2 linked regions of the Kluyveromyces lactis genome follow. The protein of the gene in region 2 binds, or shares a complex with, the protein of the main gene of each other region. Links are inferred from orthologs where the notes say so. Each region holds a gene or a part of one and is shown on either strand. Other genes may lie near its edges. The genes, in order: RCL1 and BMS1.

Region 1 (10,151 bases), on a different chromosome or scaffold from region 2:
ATGAATTTACTGATAAGCATATATCTTCTTCATTCATGAATTTATGGAGGAAGGAATTTTCCGAACAATGGAATAAAGCAGACGAAAGAATTGATATTGCATTGGATACATGGGTTAAAGTTACTGTTTTAATAGAAAGATACGAGAAAAGGATGAAACAAGTTGCCCATGAAAGAAAATTATTAGGACAAATCCTTAATGCTATTCCAGACACAACGGAAGCATTGTATCCACAATCCACTGCAACAGTTTCTCAAATAAACGAAGGTGTTGGTTTGATAGTAGAGCATTTGAATTCATGTGCAGATGTCATAGAAAGAGAAAACGAGGAAGTCGACAGTGGCCTCTCGGTTAGATTCAAGGCTTTCATTGACGTTATTATAGCGTTGAAAGGATTGTTTGAGAGATATAAGATGATGGCAGGTAACAATATTCCTCAGTTACAAAGAAGGGTAGAAATAAATCAAGAAAGATTGAACACTTTGGAAAGCAACCCTGATGTGAAAGGAGCAGAATATGATCGTGTAAAACAGAGCATCTCCAGAGATAAAAGAAGCATACTCGATCAAATGAACCGAAGCTGGTTGATCAGGGAGTGTATATTGGAGGAATTCACAATATTCCATGAAACTCAATTCTTGATTACAGATTGCTTCCAGAGGTGGATTGAAATAAATTTGAGATACACTAATAACAATGTTGACAATTGGGAAAAAATTTGCAAAAAGCTCCGCGATATGCCCCTGCAAAGACACTAAAACTATCCTACAATATTTATCTTGAATGTTCCAAGCTTTATGGAATTGTTTGATACGATAATAATAAGTGCTACGCGAAGGAATTTGTGTTGACACATATGCATATAAATTTTATATATGAATACTTATGGGAGTCATTTTGTCAGATAAAATGATATGTAATGTCAATTATGCGATTTTCTTATTGGTGTTTGTGAATCCAATACCCTTGATTGTTGCGATTAGATCCGTAGTGTTATCATCCACTGGCTTCAAGAGTATTTCTGTACCGAAAACTTTCTTGATATCCCGTAAGAGCCATACAAATCTTTCATCTATTTGATCCTTAGTGATTCTGAGTCTTCCGATATCTTCTTTACCGATGATCATGTATAAAATTGTAAGTGGCAACTGGTTTCTTCCAACAACTCCACTTTTGCTTATTTCTTCAAGTAGATGATAGGCTACGGATGCACCAATATCTTCTGGAACATCCCCAGCGTCACCGATAGCTTCAGAAAAGATTCTCCATCCTTGTTTGTTCTCTGCTACGAGCGTTAGACCCCAACCTGGACTTTTACCTGAGTTTTCACCTCTCCATACATCTGCAGTTATATTTACTTCACAACTAGCAGATTTAAGAACTTTTTTCGCACCATCAATCATTCTATTTACAAGGGAGGGACTGACTCTTGTGGAGTATGAAACACCTCTTATACTTGAAATCATTGTTTTATCCAAGGCGTGCATTGTAATCGGTTGTGCAATCAATGAATCCACAACAAGGTGTACTTCACCACCACCTAAAGGAGGTGAACCTCTCTTCAAAGTATGTAATGCACATTCCCTGACGCCAAATTTTTCCATAATCGGCATCAACCCCCATTTTATCGCATCTATTCCAGCATCATTATGTGAAGATGTTATACCACGGAATAGGATTGAGAATTTCTTCTTTGAGAAGGGGGCTAAATACAACATTGGCTCGGCAAAATAGCCCACAGGTTTACTGTTCGGACATTGATGTGTGTATGAACCACCAGTAATTATTCCTGGTCTGAAGATGACGGTGGTACCAGTGTATGAAATTTCTATTGAACTACCATTCGTTACCGCTTCCATCAATCTTAGAAAAGAGACTTCGTAATCTTTTAAACCCGGATTTAGGTCATCAGAACGTATCTTTTCTATCTTTATAGCTTTTCCTGACAATGTAGCCATTACTACTCGTAAACGAAAGTTCCGTGAACCTTCAAAGGTTACGTATCTGGAAGAGGATGACATGTCCAATTTGTCTGTTTGTCTGTCCTACTTCGTGAGGAATAAATTTCCTGATAAATCTCTTTAGAGTTTTTAATACAGAAAGTGACCTTCTATCGGACGCTAATGGAATGGTTGATGGAAGTTAACTGAAACCTTTCGATATTGGTTTTGTGTTGTATGTTCAGTTAGGCGATGAGATGAGATGAGATACGCTTTTGACAAATTTTTTGCAAGGAAAAGAAATGAGCTTCGTTACCCGGATTATGTGATCTTTCAATCTTGAAAAAATCAAAGCCAGCAAACAATAGCATCTAAATGAAGAAAGAGGTAGGAACTAGATAGAACTTTTTAGCATAATGTTTAATACTCGCACGTTTTTTTATCTTTGTTGAAATCATTAAGGTTGTACGTTTTTCGCTGAAACTGGATTTTAATTGATAGGCCGCATTTGGACCTGTTTTTAAAGATTGACTTATTCTTTTCATAGTTTATTTGCCTGCATTTTTGGGACAAGTGCAATAGGTGTCCTCAAGTATCCAATACGATTCTTTTTACCCCCGTGTTTCACCAGAGAAAACTATCACTATTGGTCTAATTAGTATAAAATACGATGGCAAAATCGCCCAAGAGAAAGAATTCTGAACCGGAAGATTTATCTTCAAATAAACGTTCCAAATCATTCGAATTTGGCAAAGTAGAGAACGGGCTGGAACCCAGTGGCTCAGATTTTGGCAGTGATCTGCCTACGCCATTCGATACTATGGTTACAGAACAGCCATTAGCTCTACCTAAAGCATCATCTCCAACTACAAACCTAGCATCTCCGCGAAACTCAAGTACGCCAAATTTGAAGACGACGAGTACGACAAGCAAACAATCACAGAAAGCAGAACAGAAGAAGAATGCCGGGGGTTCAACAGGTAGTACGACTGCCTCAACTACAAAACCACAGCAAAGTGATCCAGACAAGCTTAGTGATGCTTTGTTATCGGCCGGTGTTGATATAAGAGAGGAAGAGGCATTGCTAAGTAGCACAGTTGCTAGAACAAAAGCAACCGGTATTTCAGCAAATAACCAGGTCCCATCTCATCCTCCATTCCTACATCCTAAGAACATTTCAGATTTCATGAAAAGAATTGCATCAGAACAAAACTTTCATCAAGATTTCAATAAAAACACTGATATACTCGGATTAATGTCTACTGCATGTGAACTTTACATGAGGGACGTGATAACGAACTCTTTAATCCTATCCATACATAGACGGAAAGGTGTTAAACTAAACACGGGAAGGAGGAGTGAAGTGAGTCGTTCTTTGAGGGATTTAGCATTAAGACAAAAGACTCAAGAAGAAAGAAGAGTACAGAGAAGAATAGCACTCGGTTTAGAAAAACAAACAACGGATGCTAGGTTAGATACTGAAGAGACTCAATATCGTGCATCAAATGCAACTGCCAATTTGATGATTGCAGGGGGTAACAAAAAAAAATATAGTTGGTTGACCGCTGGATCCAAGTCCAGCTCGACAGACCTAAAAAATCAGGGAAATGTTTCATCTGCTGTTGCAGCAAGGGGTGAAATGGGTATCAAATATAGAGAAGCAAGAGAAGAACCTGGCATCGTTATGAGGGACCTTCTTTTAGCTTTAGAAAATAGGCGAGTAGGAGTTAATAATGTTATCACTAAAGGATATGCTAGAATCAGAGACTAGCATTTCCAGTTACTTTGAGGAATAATATGAGTTTCCGAGATGTTCTGTAGTATGCATACTTATATAATATAAACCTTTCGATAAATAACATAGAGACTCATACTTGCATGCGAGATTACTTTTCCTTTTCTACCTGACATGTCGCATATTTAATATTTAAAGATAGTTTTCATTTTTTAGTATCTAAATACTCAAAATCACGTCAGAGACAAATAAAGTTTAAAAAAAATAGAGTTTATTAAACCATTACTTCACACGACGCTTTAATAAGTACACTAATGATCGACGCAATTCGGTACCATTTATCGTTTGTATCTATTATATTACTTTTTAACGAATCATATCAAGATACTTTTATATACTCCAGTCTTGTCAATGATTTGGTCATTGGTCAAAGGAGATCATCTAGAGAAATTGGAAACGAAGGAGGTACAATGACGAATTCATAAGAACGAATCTGCATGAACATCTGAAAACTCAATGCATATATATTTTTTTGGTTTTAGTTTGATACTCATGGGTAAACTAGAAAGAGATGAAGACACTAGCTAAACCTCCAATCAACAAAGATAGCGTACTTCTTGGGGCCAAAATTCTGGCACTATTTTCTTTATTGCCGGAATCAGATGTTGAGGTGGAACTTGCAGAGGAGGATGTAGTGCTTGAGATAGGGGTGGTGGCATCGACAGTTCCATTCCAGCAGTATTTTTCGAAACAAGCATCACATTCAGATGGAAGTGTATAATTTAGTGATTCTTGTTTCCGTCTCAATATGGCGCATGAGATACACCCCATAAAGTTCTCATCTTTAGTGAGATTTTTCATGGTGACAGCTTCGAAACCGTTTTGGATCATCTTAAACCTTTCGGAAGTGGAGTACGACATTTTAAACGTAGATGTGTTACTGTTGAAGGACTCCCTTGTGTTTGGCATATAAACTACTAAAGGTGGAATTGATTCTAGATCAGTCAAATTTCTTGCATCGCACCCAAAGAAGGTAGGTCTTGTATTTAATCCAAGATTGGTGAAAGTGTTCACATCTGGAACATAAGGGAAGGCAATGCCTTTCCCTTGCAGACCAAATTGACGAGCGTAAGTCTGAGTCAATGAAAATCCGTCAGGCCAAGATTGATCCGTGTCTGCACTGTTATCCAAAGCAAAGATAACATCGATTTCCCGCTCAGTTTGCAGCAATGGTGTCAATGGGATATTTTGCCCATCTTCACCACCATCCACTAAATACAATGTATCATCTTCACTGATGGATTGGGAATAATTAGAAGGTATGTTCGTGATTTCGTAGAACGGGTTTGGTGCCCAAATCGAGATGTCATCGTAATCATCAGAAGCATCAGTCAAGAATCCGTGAAGTAAGTTGTACAAGAAAGATGGCAAATCAGTAGTGTTAAGTTGTAATAAAAATTGGTTAAACAAGGAGGAGGACGTACCCATAACAAAACCTGTATTATCGAAGCCTGCAACACATTTTCCTGTTACGTTTGGAGTACCATTAGTAACATTGGTACCAGCATATCTAACATCGGTGAAAGTATGTAAGGTGTAATCCCAGGAGCCCATTTCAAATGGATTAAATTCAAAGACAGTTGCATTCAAATTGACAACCTGAGTACCGGGATATCTACCAACAGCTACTGAAATAGGGAAAGGCATTTCACCATTTTTAAAAACATCAACATCTCTCAAGGTATTCCACGTATAACCCACACCACCTTCGTCCAATGATGGGAAGAAATTGTAAGATAGGGCGCGGCCCCATACATCAGTTATAGATGTGTTGAAGCCGGCTTTTTTTTTCTCTTCCACTGCGTCTGAGATGTCATCCCAACGAGAAATACTGGAAAAAATGTTGATACCGCCAGGATTGACGATAGAATTACTAATATCCCAAATACTATTATCGTCAGTCATGTTGTTGATAATTGCTTGAACAGAAGTCCAGTTATTGTAGGCCAAAGTCCCAACGAGCCAGTTACCACCAGACAAACCAGCCAAATAAGTTGAACTTTGTAATAACCCACCCAAACCATGATCATTTGCACCGTCAGTTCTATTATCCATGGCAGAAATCATACCAGCACCGCTCAACATTGCTCTATAACCACCACCAGAGCAGGCAATAGCAACCTTGGGAGCAGTGTCTTGGGTCGCTAACAGTTTATCAATGATTGAGGTGTCATTGGTAAAACCCTTAAAACCACGCTGCAAGAAGTCCTTCAAAGCTGGTACAGTAGATTCGTGTCTAACTTTCAACCAATCCGCTTCATCATCTGAAACAGCATCAGCTTTTCTAACCAAGTTTATATTCTCATCACAATCGACCACACCAGGAGCGTAACCATTTGTCGGAGACCATGCGTTAACGGCATCTAGATGTAGGGCAACCGAACATACCAGAAACAACAGATTAACTGAGTTCAAAAACCACATCAGAAAAGGAATAAACTAATCTTTAACTCGGAACAATTCTATAGATAACCTAACTCAGAGTTGATGTCTGCGCCCTTCACGATAATACTATGTACAGAAGTGACACACTCCAAAAGATTCAATAAAATAATCGTTTGATTTTACCGAGTGTGGACTTTCTATCGTAAAAGCTGATTGTTTAACTGCTTTAAGTTATGGACTTGGAAATCAACTTAATTGGGTCGAGTTAGGACTCAAGATGTAGATGAGAGAAACGGTAGCATTGTTATATATTCACCAGGTTCCATAGTTTATTGATTTATGACAAAATATTAGCTGAGCATTTAAACTTCTATATTTTCCACTTTTCTTCACGCAAAGTGTGTAGGATTGTTATAGTTAGAATTCATCACGCATGCCCGCAAAAAAATGTCTAAAAAAACGCACGGAAAATACAATCTATGTATTACCATAGTAACGACGCACCTAAGAAATGGTACAAGTGCATTATTATCAAAGGGTTTCCAAAAATTTTGTTAAGTAAATGCCCTTCCCCCTATAATAGACGCTGCATGAAGCCCCTATTAGTTGGAGGAAAGGAGGTAAAAGAGGCTGGCAATACAGACAAATTTTCGGATGCACGTACAAAAATTGGAACATTAGTCTAACTGAAAATGCTCAGTTGTCAAGCATTCACTTTAAAGCCCTTTTACTATTCCATTCGAAAAACGAATTCCGGCCCTCATTTAAAATTAAAGGGGACACACAGTGAAAATACCATCATTGCAGTAACACCACTACCATATGTTCTTCGAAATGAGCCGGAACGTTTCTTAAATCCATCAGTGGCTCCTACGCTCTTTAAGGGTACAAGGTTGCAAGCATCTCGAGTTCATAAATAGTTACCCTGCCATGCTGTCTCGTCTGAGGGAAAAGGAAAAAAAAAACAACCGGTAGAATAGCAGGCGGCAAAAAAAAAAAAATCAAGAAAGCGGCAAACTGCACTTCAAAGCTAGACCAATCAAACCGTATGTTCACCTTTGACAACTCCAGACATGTCGATGCCTGTATATCTTCATTATTTCAAATACCTTCGTCCCTCCCGGTTCTTCCTAGCCCTTACCCCAAATCTTATTACTTGTAGCAAATCTCACAATATGAAAGTAAGAGAGGAAACACGAAACTTTCAGACAGAAAAATAAAAATAAAAAATAAACATCAAAACAAACAAAAACAAATCGATATCAACTTAACTTAACTTAACTTCACATAAGTTGAATATTGGACCAGAGGGACTAAGAAAAGATAGAATCTGCTGTTTGCTTTCAAGTTTGAGATATATACGATCAGACATTGCAAGAAAGAGCATATTAAAGTTATTATAGGAGAAACAACATGTCAGGAAAAGTACACGGTGGAAAGGGTAAGTCGGGAGCCAAAGACAGTGGTTCATTGAAATCACAATCACATTCTGCTAGAGCTGGTCTTCAGTTTCCGGTTGGGAGAGTGAAGCGTTATTTGAAGAGAAATGCTGCTGGAAGAACCCGTGTTGGGTCCAAGGCTGCTATTTACTTGACTGCTGTTCTTGAGTATTTGACTGCTGAAGTTTTGGAATTGGCTGGTAACGCTGCTAAAGATTTGAAGGTGAAGAGAATTACCCCAAGACATTTACAACTTGCTATCAGAGGTGATGATGAATTAGACTCCTTGATCAGAGCCACTATCGCTTCTGGTGGTGTTCTACCTCATATCAACAAGGCTTTGTTGTTGAAAGTGGAAAAGAAGCATAAATGAAGCGTGAAAATTGTATCAATTTGAATGAAGTTTAATGAGACTAAGCGCTTAAAAACAGCTCTCTATTGTTATTTCATTATTATATTTCTTCTACTTTTTGACTCTAACTGTAATCATATCCCAGGGTGAAGGGTTGTATATTTTCATCTCCACTTCCCCCCCCTCTCTTTTCCCTTGTCGTGATGGTACACTACTAATTCACCGCATTATCTTATCTCAAAATATCAAAAGTGCAATTTAACCCTCATCTATTCCATTTCCATATTTTTATTAAACAGTTATGTATATGTAACATCTATAATCCAATTCCTACTTTTACTCATGACCTGTTAATATTAGAGCTTGTGTTTACGTCTATACTCAAATACTTATTCATTCCAGAATAGGACTATATACAAGTTTGTTCCGTTAGAATATCGGTGGTCCAATATCCTTTTTGTATTTTCATTTATGTGAGGAGAGTTTTGACTGAATTAATTTTAGTTCTTCCTTAAGACTTTGACATGATTTTATTTGGTCGCTTTGGGTCTTAGTCGTTGATCTCAGTTCTTCGATTTCCGATTGTAAAAAAGCAATATCTTGAGTGACCTGTTCACGTCTATCCAGCTCCTTTTGACGCTGTCTTAAAGTCTCCCACACTACAACACTACCCGTAACACCAAATACAAAGCCTTCGCTGAGCAACGTTGCACCATTTTCAACAGCTTTCGTATCGTTCAACGGACGAATCGTTTTGGAAAACTTAGTTGGCGTCAGTTTGCTTCTCAACACAACATCTGCAACGTGCATTTTCTGGGCCAAACCGATGCAAATTTCCTTGAATACAGCATGCTCTTTTGCTTGCCGCTTCAGCACGTTTGCCATTGGTCGTGTAACCTGCCGTACAAGCAACGCACCCAGTTTCAATGCTATAGCACTCATTTATTCTCTTAACTCGCCGCCTTAGCACGTATACCTATATAGCATCAACTACGCAACCTTAGACATAGCAGAACTTCAGCTTTCCCTTGATATAACTCTTCTACACTCCCATGTATGTATTTTATCAAACTCTATTTTTCTTATACGCAACTTGAAAGATATCGAAACGTTTATACAGACTAAAAAAAGGTTTAAAACTGTGAAATGATCCAAAGAGAAACATCTTGCAGACAAAACTGGGAATCGAAACAAGGAGCTGAGACAGTTTATGTCCTATCACTTTTCGGAGACTGACCTTTTGATTCTTCTCAAGCTTGCTACAACGTCGACGTCATGTTTGGTTTATTCAATCGGAATCCTGAAGCTGGTGCTCCTGGTCAACCGCAAAATGTGTTTCTGACCCAAAAGTTTATTGCCTACTCCCTTATGTCATATACGGCAGCCGCATGGTCTTTACATTATTGTGTAACAACATCTTTCTCTTATTTGCATGCAATGACGAAGATTACCGAGGGTATCCATGCCATGATATGGGGGAATCTCTTTCTATTAAACAGCGTCTTAATACTAAAGGGTGTCATTCACATGCTATTTGGACAGTTACGGTTGATTGAATATGAACATATTCTCGAACGGATATCGTATACCGTAATAACTTTGTTATTATCGTGCTCGTCGATGAATGGGCTCATCTCAGTTATGCAGATACACTGTGTGCTTTTTGTTTGCTGTAGAACGTTACACTGGATCCTCAAGGACAGAATGGAAGTCACTTTCCAGGCAAATGACATGCGCCTTACTTTGAAAGATATATTACTTTCGAGGTTCATGTTCAATTTATTAGTCCTAACAGCCGTAGATGGTATCATAGTGGCATATTACGTTAATAAGATCTTGTACAAATCTAACATTGACGTTACATATACCCTGTTCATTATAAGCCAATATGCTATACTTGGGACAGATTTACTGCAGGTTATCTTACGTACTGGGCTCAATTTGTTTGAGCTTTCTACTATTCAAAACAGAGCAAGAATTCGTCGCAATGCGGATCATCACGTCGATGAGCCTGTTATCAATCACGAAGAAAGGCCAAATGCCGTTGCCATTGAAGAAGATGAGGATGAGGATGAGGAAAATGCAGGATTGGAAGGGAAATTCATTTATGAGAAATTAATTGATGTTTTCATTAGTACTGTTAAAGTTATAATTAAATTCGCTTCCTCTTTCTCCACCGGCAGAGTAATGATGGTGACGGTTCTGTGGGAAGCGATCACTACATTTAAATCTGCTAGAGG
Region 2 (11,678 bases):
TGACACAATTTAAGATTTGAAATTCTTCCTAATTAGGATATTGTTGGCACTGAAATAATAAACACCCAGTCACCGCACCAATTTTCAACAGTCCCAGCATTTTTGTACCCACTCCTGGCCAAAGCCTACAGGAAAACTGAAAAATTTCAGATTGAACCACATTGGAATAACAACATATGATGAAAACAGCTAATCAATCGGGACGTTGTTCTCTTATTCTCTCTTGATATATATATTTTTATATTGTTCGTATTCTGTTTGTTTTAGAATTTAAAAGAGCACAGTCGCAAGCCTATTAAACGGACCACCAAATACTTTTGGAAGACTCTCACCACTCATAAAACATCAAAGATGTCTAAGATTACTTCCTCTCACGTTAGAGACAACGTCAAGGAGTTGTTGAAATACTCCAATGAAACCAAGAAGAGAAATTTCTTGGAAACCGTTGAATTGCAAGTCGGTTTGAAGAACTACGATCCTCAAAGAGACAAGCGTTTCTCTGGTACTTTGAAGTTGCCAGTCTGCCCAAGACCAAACTTGTCCATCTGTATCTTTGGTGATGCTTTCGATGTTGACAGAGCTAAGTCCTGTGGTGTCGACGCTATGTCCGTTGAAGATTTGAAGAAGTTGAACAAGAACAAGAAGTTGATTAAGAAGTTGGCTAAGAAGTACTCTGCTTTCGTCGCTTCGGAAGTTTTGATCAAGCAAGTTCCAAGATTATTGGGTCCTCAATTGTCCAAGGCTGGTAAGTTCCCAACCCCAGTTTCCCACAACGATGATTTGTACCAAAAGGTCAACGACGTCAAGTCCACCATCAAGTTCCAATTGAAGAAGGTCTTGTGTTTGGCTGTCGCCGTCGGTAACGTCGAAATGGACGAAGACACTTTGGTCAACCAAATCTTGATGTCTGTTAACTTCTTGGTCTCCTTGTTGAAGAAGAACTGGCAAAACGTCGGTTCCTTGGTCATCAAGTCTACCATGGGTCCAGCTTACAGATTGTACTAAGCCAGCAACAACTACTGCCTTTTTAGCTTCCTATATCATTCTCTATTATTAAAAATGCATATATAAAGTTTTCAAATAACAGGATATTACTGGTTTACTCGTCTTCACTACAACCCAAACTTCCCGCAGAAGAAATCCGCTCGAGCCAAAACCTCGGACCGTTGTGGTCCATTTCCCATTATTATATCGCACAAACTATTGATGCGGTGCTTTCTTTTTCATCTAAGCATTTTTCCTCTTTACAGTGAACTTTTTGCTATTTATCCGGTGATTGAAAACACTGCAATTTCGGACCCAAATTTTGCTATATTTACTATTTATTATACATATATATGACTGTGCTACTGTATGGATACAAATTCAGTAAAAGAGAAAGACCAAGGCCCCACAAGCGAATAATAGTTAGAGCATCCTTTCAATACATTGCTGCTGCTTAAATCTGGGTCTCTACAAACAGAAAATAGCGGTTTGTTTTTAGGAGTATCTCCGCATTGAGGGACGAAGAAGTATCAGTTAAACTGAGTTTTTGCTTCAGTTTTGGTATTTGGTTTTGGTGAGTTTGAAACTAGCTTCTATTTATCCTCTAGGGGTCCTACCAGTGTTTTTATCGTTACTATTTGGATTTGATTTGCGAGATCAGTAAACAGCATCTTTTAGTAGCGTGTGCTGACCACATTTTTTGAAAAGAAATGGTTTTAAGTGGCTCTACATCGCCTAGAAACGCGTTCATTGGGGACAAGCGTGATTGGTTCAAGGTGAACGGTGTTTTGGATAGGGAAGAAGAATGTGATCCAAGTGATTTCGACGTTGAGGATGAAAGTTTTGGGTTACCTTTGAAAAGTCGACATCTAGACGGAAACTTCGATGATGTGTTACATACCGCCGATTCTAAAAAAGTGCGGTTCGCTGAAGGCAAAAACAGGATGACCGTGGAACAGCTATTGGAAAACACTAGTAACTTGAATATGTTCTTTGAAAATAATATAGAAAAAATTACGGACTTCAAATCCGGTTTGGATGTACAGGAATGGTATAGAAGTACAACGCCAGATACTCCGACAGGCATAAGTGCGAAAGCTACCGCGTCAGCGGGATCTGCATCTAATTTCCAGCTCAGTGAAGCTGGGGATAGAGACAATTCTACTGCGGGTGGCTTGGAGTCCGATCAAGAGAGTAATGTTTTCGATCGTCGGCTTTCAAATCTGTTGGCAACGACCTCGGTTTCCGATTATAAGTTGAACAACGAAGATAACAATAACTCTCACAACGAGCTGAATGGATTACCCAAATCTTTCCCCCTGGAAAAAATAGATGACCAAAGGGATAGTACACTTCTTATACATTCGTTACTGAAAACAAATTTAAACAATAATGAGGTGTTTGGTTTAGAAATGACATCCAGAGAAGCCTTACAAATACTCGATGATTTCCTGCAACTCGCTCTCCTATTGTCTTCTGATATGCGTAAGAATGCTGAGAATGGTATGACAAATCATGAAGGCGAAGTTAATGATAATAATGATGATAATGCTGATGATGATGATTCTGATAATAATAATAATAATAATAATAATAATAATAATAATAATAAAAATAAAAATAATAGTAACAATAATAATGCCAGTAGCGATGGCGATAATATTAACAATGATGATAATGACAATACTAATGATGAGAATAATAATCAAAATAATAATGATAACAATAGAAATAGTGATATCGGTGGCGACACTTCTAATGACAATGATAATTTGCATAATGAGCCCTCTGCGACCAAGTCAAAAACCGAAGATGACATAGAAATGGAGATAGATCATTGGTCTCATGAGAACCTCGAAGAAACTTCCAATATTAGAGCAATCTTTCAGATGAAATCAGCTCCTACTCTCTCCATATCCCAATATCTCGATAGAATCGAATCCAAATGTTCATTCCCGCCAATTATCTATTTGACAGCATCCTTCTTGTTAGTTACCTATTGCGACATAAAGTTCGACACTGGAAGTGGAAAATTTCATCTAGAAAACCCGATCACGGAATCCATGACGCATCGTTTGCTCATTGCATTCATCCGTTTGGCTGCCAAGTTACTTGAAGATCATGTACACTCCCATTCGTACTTTAGTAAGGTGTGTGGTATCTCTAAGAAACTTCTTTCTAAATTGGAACTGAATTTAGTTTTAATTCTACAAGACACCCAAGACGGTCTTCTTATCACTGAGCTTTCAATAAAAACTGTACTCGCACTACATGAGCATATAAACCTGAGCTGATGGTCGCCATTGTAATTTCCGGCGCACTCTTGCATCAACTGTATTTGCATAAAAGGAAGCAGTTACTTTTAGCACAAATTGATATTTCTAATGAAAAAACAACAACAAGCAAATCTAAAAAGTTGCAATTTCCATACACCTCCGTAATAACTGATTCCAAAGCTCTTTCATAAACGCACGTTCACATCCTGCATTGCTCTTTTATACCAAGTTATATTCACATAGTTGTAATGTGTAATCTTATATCAATCGTATCAAGTGATTTCAATTAATAGGAAGATCAAGAAACATTTGACCGTTTTACGAAAATGAACAGATTGGTCTTTCAAAAGAACAAAGGCAGGCATATTTTAAAAACAAAGTTTATGATCTTCATTTAGTTACTGTTAGTTAGTAATTCGACTTAAAAATTACGGCACTTTAAGCTACTAATTCTTTATTGACTCTTCATTTGTTGTACGGAAAATACAGTAAAAGATGGCAGGCTGGGATTTATTTGGATGGTTCAGGGACATTCTATCATCCCTAGGATTATGGAACAAGCATGGTAAGTTATTGTTCTTAGGTTTAGACAATGCTGGTAAGACTACCTTGTTACATATGTTGAAGAACGATAGATTAGCTACTTTGCAACCAACTTGGCACCCAACTTCTGAAGAATTGGCGATCGGTAATATCAAATTCACCACTTTTGATTTAGGTGGACATTTGCAAGCACGTAGATTGTGGAAGGATTATTTCCCAGAAGTTAATGGTATTGTGTTCCTAGTGGATGCTGCTGACCCAGAGAGATTTAACGAAGCACGTATTGAATTGGATGCTTTGTTCCAAATCAAGGAATTGGACAACGTTCCATTTGCTGTCTTGGGTAACAAGATTGACTCTCCAAGTGCCGTTTCTGAAACTGAATTGAGAGCTGCATTGGGTTTGATGAACACAACTGGATATACCAAAATTGAAGGTCAAAGACCTATCGAGTTGTTCATGTGTTCCGTTGTCATGAAGTCTGGTTACTCTGAAGCCTTCAAGTGGCTATCTGAATATATTTAAGTAGTTAAGCAAGCGCTACTAACGATATATAATAACTGCAAATATCACCTAATAAGCATGGAGAAGAATAACTATAATCATATATGCATAAAATACTTAGCTATGTTTCAGAATCTCATGGTCTCTTAGAATTGCATTAACATAGAAAATCTCCAGCTCAGAATCAACTCCAAATGCGACTCTTAACTAATACAGTAGTTCATTTTGGTTCTTAACAATTACTTTATACTCTATCATTCAAATTATGCAATGTAAATAGGTTAAAATACATAGTTTATTTCCTTTTCTTGGAAGACATAACATCACTTGTGTCATTGTCGTTGAATTGTCTTTTTTTACCGTTTTTGGAGAAGAAGTCCTTCTTACGTTGCTTCTCCTTTTCTTTCTTCGATTCCTCCAACTTAGCAAGCTTCTTGAGTCTTTCCTTCCTTTCTTCAGCTTTCTTGGATCTCTTCTTTTCATCCTTCGCATTCGAAATGGTGAGAACCTTTTGCATGAAGGAACGTGCCTTTTTCTCTTCGCCGCCTAGAACGACAGCTCTCTTAGCCATGTATGTTTTCTTCTTTTGCGGTTTCATTTGATAGATCTGGGATTTGAAAGGTAAGTCTTTGGCAACAGATTTTGGTACCTTTAAACCGTTGAAGTTCCTTTCAACTCTTTCAACCTTCTTATATGTACTGTCATTGTTGGTCGGTAAATCGATTCCAAGAGATGCTCTAATTTGACCAGTTAGTCTCAAACCCTTCCATTCAGTTTTATCTTTTAGCAACAATGAAGTAACTGGGTTGTAGAATTTCTTAACTTGGATTGGATACCATGACCTAAGAATTATAATGTCACTCAATAGTATCTTATCCTCAAAAGTTGCCCTGAAATGGCCTTCTGGTTTTGATAGAGCACGCTTGATTTCACCACGAATACCGGAAACAGTCTTGATTTGGGCACCTTCGAACCGTGCAACTTCCATAGCGCTAGAGAACATATCCTTTATGAAGGCAGTGTTCTTGAAGATTTTGTAAGGATAACCAACAAGCTTTAATTTCTTCACAATTTCTACGCTTGCATCGATCTCCTCTACAATACCAGTCGCAGCTATTCTGAAACTTCCAGTTGTATCACTGTTAGCAACTATTTGAACACCACAGAAAGTGGTATTTGGCGAGCACAAGGGACCATAGAAAGAAGCTGTACAATAAGCATGTTCTGGAGTATACTTCAACATTCTAGTCCTGGTTCTAGAGTCACTAGTGGTGTATATTGGTAGAGTTTGGAAACGTCTCCAACCAAGAGATAAAACTAAAGGATCATTTGTCTTGAGAATCTTTTTGTGCCAACGATGTCTTCTGACTCTTGCATTAATAATTCCGAACTTCAATTCTGTGGGAAGAAGACCTCCCATAATTACTGGATACTTTGGGTTGAAATTTTCGATGAATTCCATAGGAACCTTATCGAAGACAATACGAACATAAGACCCAGCTTTCATACCTTCGATTTGTTGCCTTTGTTCAGGAGTCATAGATTCCAGTTCGGCTTTATTGATTTCTAATTGTTTAGCAATCTTAGCCTTCTGTAATTCGTACCAGGTATCGTATTCATTTTCAGGGTCTTCTCCAAAGTTGTCTCCTTCTTCCATTTCGAATTGTAACCTTAATTTCTCTTTTTTTGCGGCATTCAATTCACGCTCTTCATCCTGGGTCAAATCCTTCTTTTCTTCTTCTTCGAAATCAGCGAACGATTCGTTGCTATCAGATTCTTCATCTCCTGCAGCAGAATTCTCCTCCTTCTCATCTGTGTTTTCAGGCTCAGCTTCTAAGTCCTCAAAATCACCGTATACTTCATCTTCATCATCGTCTTCATCCTTTACATCATCAGAAGACTTGGTGTTTAAGGATGGCTTTCCAACAAATCTGTCTTTGATTGAATCGGCAGTTGACCATCTTTCAACAAGGTCATTGAATGTATCAAAATAAGGAATAAATCTTTCAAGATCATCGTGGTAAGTTACTGCCTTATTCGGTGTAGTATTTGTCTTTTGGGTGAAGAATTCAGTATCTTCATCGTCTTCTAGATCTTCTTCAACTTCAGTTTCGTCGGCCTCGCCGTTCCATCTTTTGATTGCATCAGCTGGAGCAATGTTGTCCATGTAGATAAGTTTGCTGATATCCCACTTTCTTCTTTTATTCTTTGTACCATTCAATTTACCAGCTGTGGTTCTTTCCCAACCTTCAGAATCAGATGCATCCAATTCTGAATCTGTCTCAAAGGCCATGTTTTCAGGTTTTTCGTCATCAAAATCAATTTCAACTAATTTAGTGCGATGTGCTTCATCTTCGTCATCATCTTCATTATAGTTTTCGTTGTCACTTGATAAATTATCGAGATCTGCGTTAGATTCCTGAAGGGATTTGCCGTATACTCTTGCCTTTCTTAAGGAAGATCTACCAACGTTTCCTCTATCAACATCATCCTCGTCTTCGGTGTCTTCTTCAACTTCTTCATCCTGATCTTCAATAGCATGTAACTCAGTACTATTTGAGAAAAGCTGCAATCCAACATTCTCGAATTTTTCATCAATGGAACGAGATGTAGCCTGTAGGTTGGACACGATCTTGTCACTTTCATCTTTTTCCTCTGCAGTCATTGAGTTTGGACCTGTCTTACCGCCAACATCAATGAACACGGCATCCTTATCCATAAGTAAACCACCAACGTCAGACATTGGAGCATAGATCAGCTTTTGTTTATCATCCAATCTTTTACGTCTTCTTACAGTCGTTGCTGATGTGGAACCTTCTTCCTTAGCACGTTCACGTTCAAATTCATCTAATTTCTGTTGGTAATAAGGTGTCGGACAAGGATCAGGCAATTTCTCAACGTGATCGATCTGGTAGTCACCTACACCGGCGATATGGACCCTGTAGCCTGGAGTCGAAGGTAACGGAGTACCGTGTAAATAACCATAGATGGCGACTTTACGATCTATATGCATACCCTTCGATTGTAAGAGTTCTGGATGAGTTAAATCGGATATTCTATCGGCCAATAAATAAGGATGTTCGTTTCTCCATTGCAAAGGTCTGAACTTCATAACACTTATAAACCTTGACAAGTTCAAAATCTCTCTATCTGGATAACGACCGTTAATAACACCAGAAAGGTAGAAAAGCTTGGCACCCTGATACACTTCGGTCCAGAACCTATGTTTCAAAGATTTCTTAGAGGCACGCAATGTTGACTGGGATTTGAAAAGATCCAAATGTGTAGCGACACCTAGTACACGAGGCATACCATGATGTTGAGCCAAATTCAAGAATTCCATGGTCTCCATTTCAAACCCGAAATTACCATCCATCATCAAAAGCACCAAATCGGCCACTTTTGAAATATCGATCATGGAATTCAAATCATCCGCAGGACATTCGATAAAAGTCAGCCTTCTACGCTTACCAGAAACAACAGTAATAGGACCGTTAATTTCGGATAAAGTGGTCTTTGTCAACCTTCTCACTAACGATTTGATCAAAGTAGTCTTACCGGTACCTGGAGGACCAACAACAGCAATAATGATCGGAGGAGGATCATCATCTGGGGTACGATCCACCATCGGAACATGCAACTTCTTCTCATTCTTATCACCCGTACGTTGCATCTGCTTAGCCATTTTCCCCGGAGCGGAGACAGCAAAGGCCTTAGCATTGTGGCCCTGAGAATGTAACTTCTTCTTGGCACCAGCCTTCTCCTTCCGCTTCCTATGTTCTTTATTCGATTGTTCCATTGCTGAAGCTTGAGAGTCTTAAGATGTATTCAGGCAATGTGATTCGAACTAACTGGCCTAAAGTGACCCTTTTGATTCAATTCAAGATACTAGAATCTTTTATGTTCACCGATGAGATGAGATGAGATGGTTGAGCTTCTTCATGCAATTTTTCATGCAGGGTAAGAAAAAGAAATGATCTGAACCTTGTCGATATCTAATCACGTGATTCTGCACGTGATCTGATTTTTAAGAATTTAAGGTATTCTGTCAGTTTTGTAGATATTCCTACATGTCTCTGCCGTAGTAACTAGGGCCCAAGGGCATATGGAAAAAAAAGCGTTCATCGAAATTCGAACATCAAAATGAAATCGAAATCCAATCAAATGCACAAACAGAACAGGATAGAACAAAGGTCAATGAATCAACGGTTGGATTCCGAATAAAAGTCGTTTGTTTCATTCGTTTCCCTAAAAGTTGTTGTGTTTTTTATCTTTAGTTCGTTTGTGTGGTGATTTGGATTTCACAACAAGAACTGTACGTTCTACACCAGTTATATTGTTGTGGATACGAGACAACATCTTTTGGTCATAGAAAACACATACTGTTCTTATTCTTTCCAATCTGTGTGCGTGTAATTTTTACTGAGTTGAAGCAGGAAAGCTAGGATAACAGAGTCTTCAGTGGTGTGTGTTTCCTTGTTGAGCTTTTTATTTTTTGGATAGAATACACAGTGTGAGCAATGGTTTTGTATAAAAGGAAAACGATAACGTTGCCAGATGCTAGGCCATTACCGTCAAATATCAATAGGAAAATATGGTACATTCAAGAGACAGGGGAATGGTTTTTGACTTATGCAGAGTTTTTGCAACGATTGGATTTTTATAGGCGACATTATTTCACCTGTGAGATCACTGGTACATCATGTTTAACTTTTTTTGAAGCGTTGAACAGTGAAGAAGAGCAGTTCCAATACGTTGAGAAAATGTTCCCTTTAAAATTACGTGAACCTGTTGCAAAATTCATCCATTTCAACGAGATTAGAAGGCTAGATATGCTCGTCGAACAGGTATATGCAAGATTTAAAAACGACTATTTCCCTGGAGAAACGGTATACCTACGGAAAAGTAAGCAAGATTCCTCACATGACGATGCTGAAAAACATCATCAGCACTCACATGGATCACAGCATCAAAAAATTTACATTATCAAAGAAAAGGCTCAGTTTAATGCAGTTATAGATAGAGATACAAGGCAAGAATTGGTTCCTGCCCATGCAAAATATATGTTACAGGAAGCACAAGGTAGTACTTCAATCGTTGCCGATGAGGATCAGATTTATCGTGATAGATCATGTTTCACTAAGCATTTGATTAAATGTTTCTGTAAGATAACGTTGCGTCGTGCTTCAACTAAGATGGGTGCCCCATGGTGTGTGAAAGATGAATATTTGCCCATCTATAATTTAACCTTAACGTGGCCAGAAAGTATGCTAAAATACAAGGAAGATTACGTAGATCCGCAGTATTTGCAACAACTTCAACACATGGCGGAACTTAATCGAGAAAGAGAAGCTTCGGCAGCCATTGGTGAGCATAAACGAGAAATTGAAATTGCTAGAACAGAAACACCAGATCAGAAAAGAATAAAAACTGAAGAACTGATATCTGAATCCTCACCTTCGGTTGACCATACCAGTAACGACAATAATCAAATAACCAATGGCGATCAACAAAGCATAACGCAAATCACTGAAGATTTGGAAATACCTTTCATGGCACCAAGGCCTTCAGCTATCAACGATGCACTTTTAAAATACTCTAAGGAGTATGTGCCAATCTCAAATTCTCTCGATAAACCATTTGCGCATGATATTGGTAAACTCCTTCATTGTTATCAGTTTTTAATGGCATTTAATGCGACCCTTCAACTTTCGGAATTTAGTTGGGATGATTTTGTAAATTCTTTGAGATTTACTGATCCGCGCCAAATGATGGACGAGTACGTAACGATTAGTTATGAGGACGGTACGGGTACTAAGGTGGAAAGAATTAATATCTGGAATGAATCGATATATAAATATATTGACTCTTCAAATTCAGAAAAAATGAAGTTCACCTTGTCCTTGGACACTATGATAAATGATGACTATTTGGACGAGTTGAAAATAACAGGTACTTCCTTGATAGTGGAGTGTTTTTGTTCACTGTTAAGGTTGTTCATAGACACCAGTGGGGATTGGACGACATTAGTCCCTTCGGAGTGGCTTGAGGAGGACACGGACGAAAATTCGAGTGAAAATGAAGATTTAGAGATGGAAGAAAACGACGAAGTTAGTGCTGATCTTGAATCGTTATTAGAGAAGTGTTTAAACTATCGAAAAGTAAAATGGACAGACAGGCTTTCTAAGAGGCAATTTAACAATGGTTTCTGGTTGATAGTTCTCTTAGGTGTTCTCCAAGACTTCATGCATTTACCAATGTATAAATCGACAATTCAAGGCTTCATCAAAAATCTGGTGCCGTCTGAGCACACCCCGTCAAATATTTCCTTGAATAGGTACTTATGGAGAAAGTTTTGCAAAGATATTTCTGTTGAGGAGAAAGTTAACATTATGTGGATATTAGTTGAAATATTGAGCAACTACTCATCAATAATAAGATCTGCAATGGATGATTCAATGGAACTTTGTAACCAAATTAGAAGTGAGAGGTTTAGATTGAATAGGGATCTTAAAGCATGTTCTAATACTGTTGCTGGACTAAAAGAACAATTTACAGTTTCTGAGTTGCAACAATCTGAGAGCAGTAATGATAATATCGAACTGAAAGAAAACCTAAAAAAAGCAACAGATCAACTGGAACGGTTCCAAAGGAGGAAAAGCTTTTTTGATGCTAGGTTGATTGAAGCTGATCTTCAAAGACTAAAACCCTTGGGATATGATAGATATGGTAACAAAATCTACTGGTTAGAATATTGCGGAGTTCCTAGGCCGAACATATTCTCGAAGGCTTCACACTTATTAAGCAATAGATTGTGGATCCAAGGACCTGTCAAAGAAGCTGTGCTATACTACTTCAAGATAACGGAAGAAGAGTACAATCAATGGATTTCTTTAGCTAACGAATTGGGTAAAATTCAAGCCACCAAACAGGTTTTCCATGTTTATCGCGATGAGAAAGGTTGTTATTTCCACTACGATAAAGAGGGAGATATCATGTTGATAAATGAAGAAGGTGTTTTCAATACGTTCATTGAACTTTCGCCACTTCAAAGAAAAATTATTGATGAGACACCGGAAGGTCTTTTGTTTACTCCTAATGACTGGATATTCTTGCAAGATCCTGAACAACTCATTTCGATGACTAATTGGTGGGACAGCTGGGGAAAACGAGAACATGAAACACTGAAACAGTTGCAATCAGTTATGGAGCCGGTGATAGAGACATTAAATCAATATAAGACTCAAGTTCAAGACGAAGTTACTGAAAAAAGAGAATTGTTACTGAAAGAGATTGCGGCTTTGGAAATAGCGGATAACGAATTAAGTGTAGATGATACAGTGGACGACAGAGATGAGTCTGATATAGAAG

The links.
Region 1: the proteins of BMS1 (region 2) and RCL1 are in contact, whole or in part, in a crystal structure (PDB 4CLQ), measured with the Saccharomyces cerevisiae proteins. The link is inferred for Kluyveromyces lactis from reciprocal best matches to the Saccharomyces cerevisiae genes BMS1 and RCL1. Residues at the interface, in NP_015107.1 of Saccharomyces cerevisiae: Ile549, Gly550, Leu552, Ile553, Tyr554, Met555, Asp556, Ile558, Ser559, Pro560, Glu561, Cys563, Ile564, Trp567, Arg568, Val606, Asp607, Leu608, Glu609, Lys610, Phe611, Val612, Pro613, Tyr614, Phe615, Asp616, Phe618, Leu621, Ala622, Lys624; in NP_014633.1 of Saccharomyces cerevisiae: Ser14, Gln15, Asn16, Phe17, Arg18, Leu19, Glu49, Lys94, Tyr98, Glu101, His125, Asn126, Asp127, Ala128, Ala132, Leu137, Arg185, Pro186, Ile187, Ile188, Ile191, Val215, Asn218, Leu219, Gln220, Cys221, Tyr256, Phe257, Glu259, Glu270.

What each region holds. Positions count from the first base shown.
Region 1 is NC_006039.1:520,776-530,926, reverse strand, and holds RCL1 (rRNA-processing endoribonuclease), read right to left. Parts: upstream 2,022-10,151; coding exon 927-2,021; downstream 1-926. Other genes in the region: MVP1 (Mvp1p), read left to right, coding at 1-758; TAF4 (Taf4p), read left to right, coding at 2,611-3,711; PLB3 (lysophospholipase), read right to left, coding at 4,237-6,159; HTZ1 (histone H2AZ), read left to right, coding at 7,534-7,932; KLLA0_C05896g (OPA3 family protein), read right to left, coding at 8,377-8,853; E3 ubiquitin-protein ligase HRD1, read left to right, coding at 9,187-10,151. UniProt on the Saccharomyces cerevisiae protein: Does not have cyclase activity. Plays a role in 40S-ribosomal-subunit biogenesis in the early pre-rRNA processing steps at sites A0, A1 and A2 that are required for proper maturation of the 18S RNA. RCL1 activates BMS1 by promoting GDP/GTP exchange.
Region 2 is NC_006038.1:174,891-186,568, forward strand, and holds BMS1 (GTPase BMS1), read right to left. Parts: upstream 8,107-11,678; coding exon 4,603-8,106; downstream 1-4,602. Other genes in the region: RPL1B (60S ribosomal protein uL1), read left to right, coding at 352-1,005; KLLA0_B02024g (uncharacterized protein), read left to right, coding at 1,695-3,278; Arf family GTPase SAR1, read left to right, coding at 3,756-4,328; KLLA0_B02090g (uncharacterized protein), read left to right, coding at 8,828-11,678. UniProt on the Saccharomyces cerevisiae protein: GTPase required for synthesis of 40S ribosomal subunits and for processing the 35S pre-rRNA at sites A0, A1, and A2.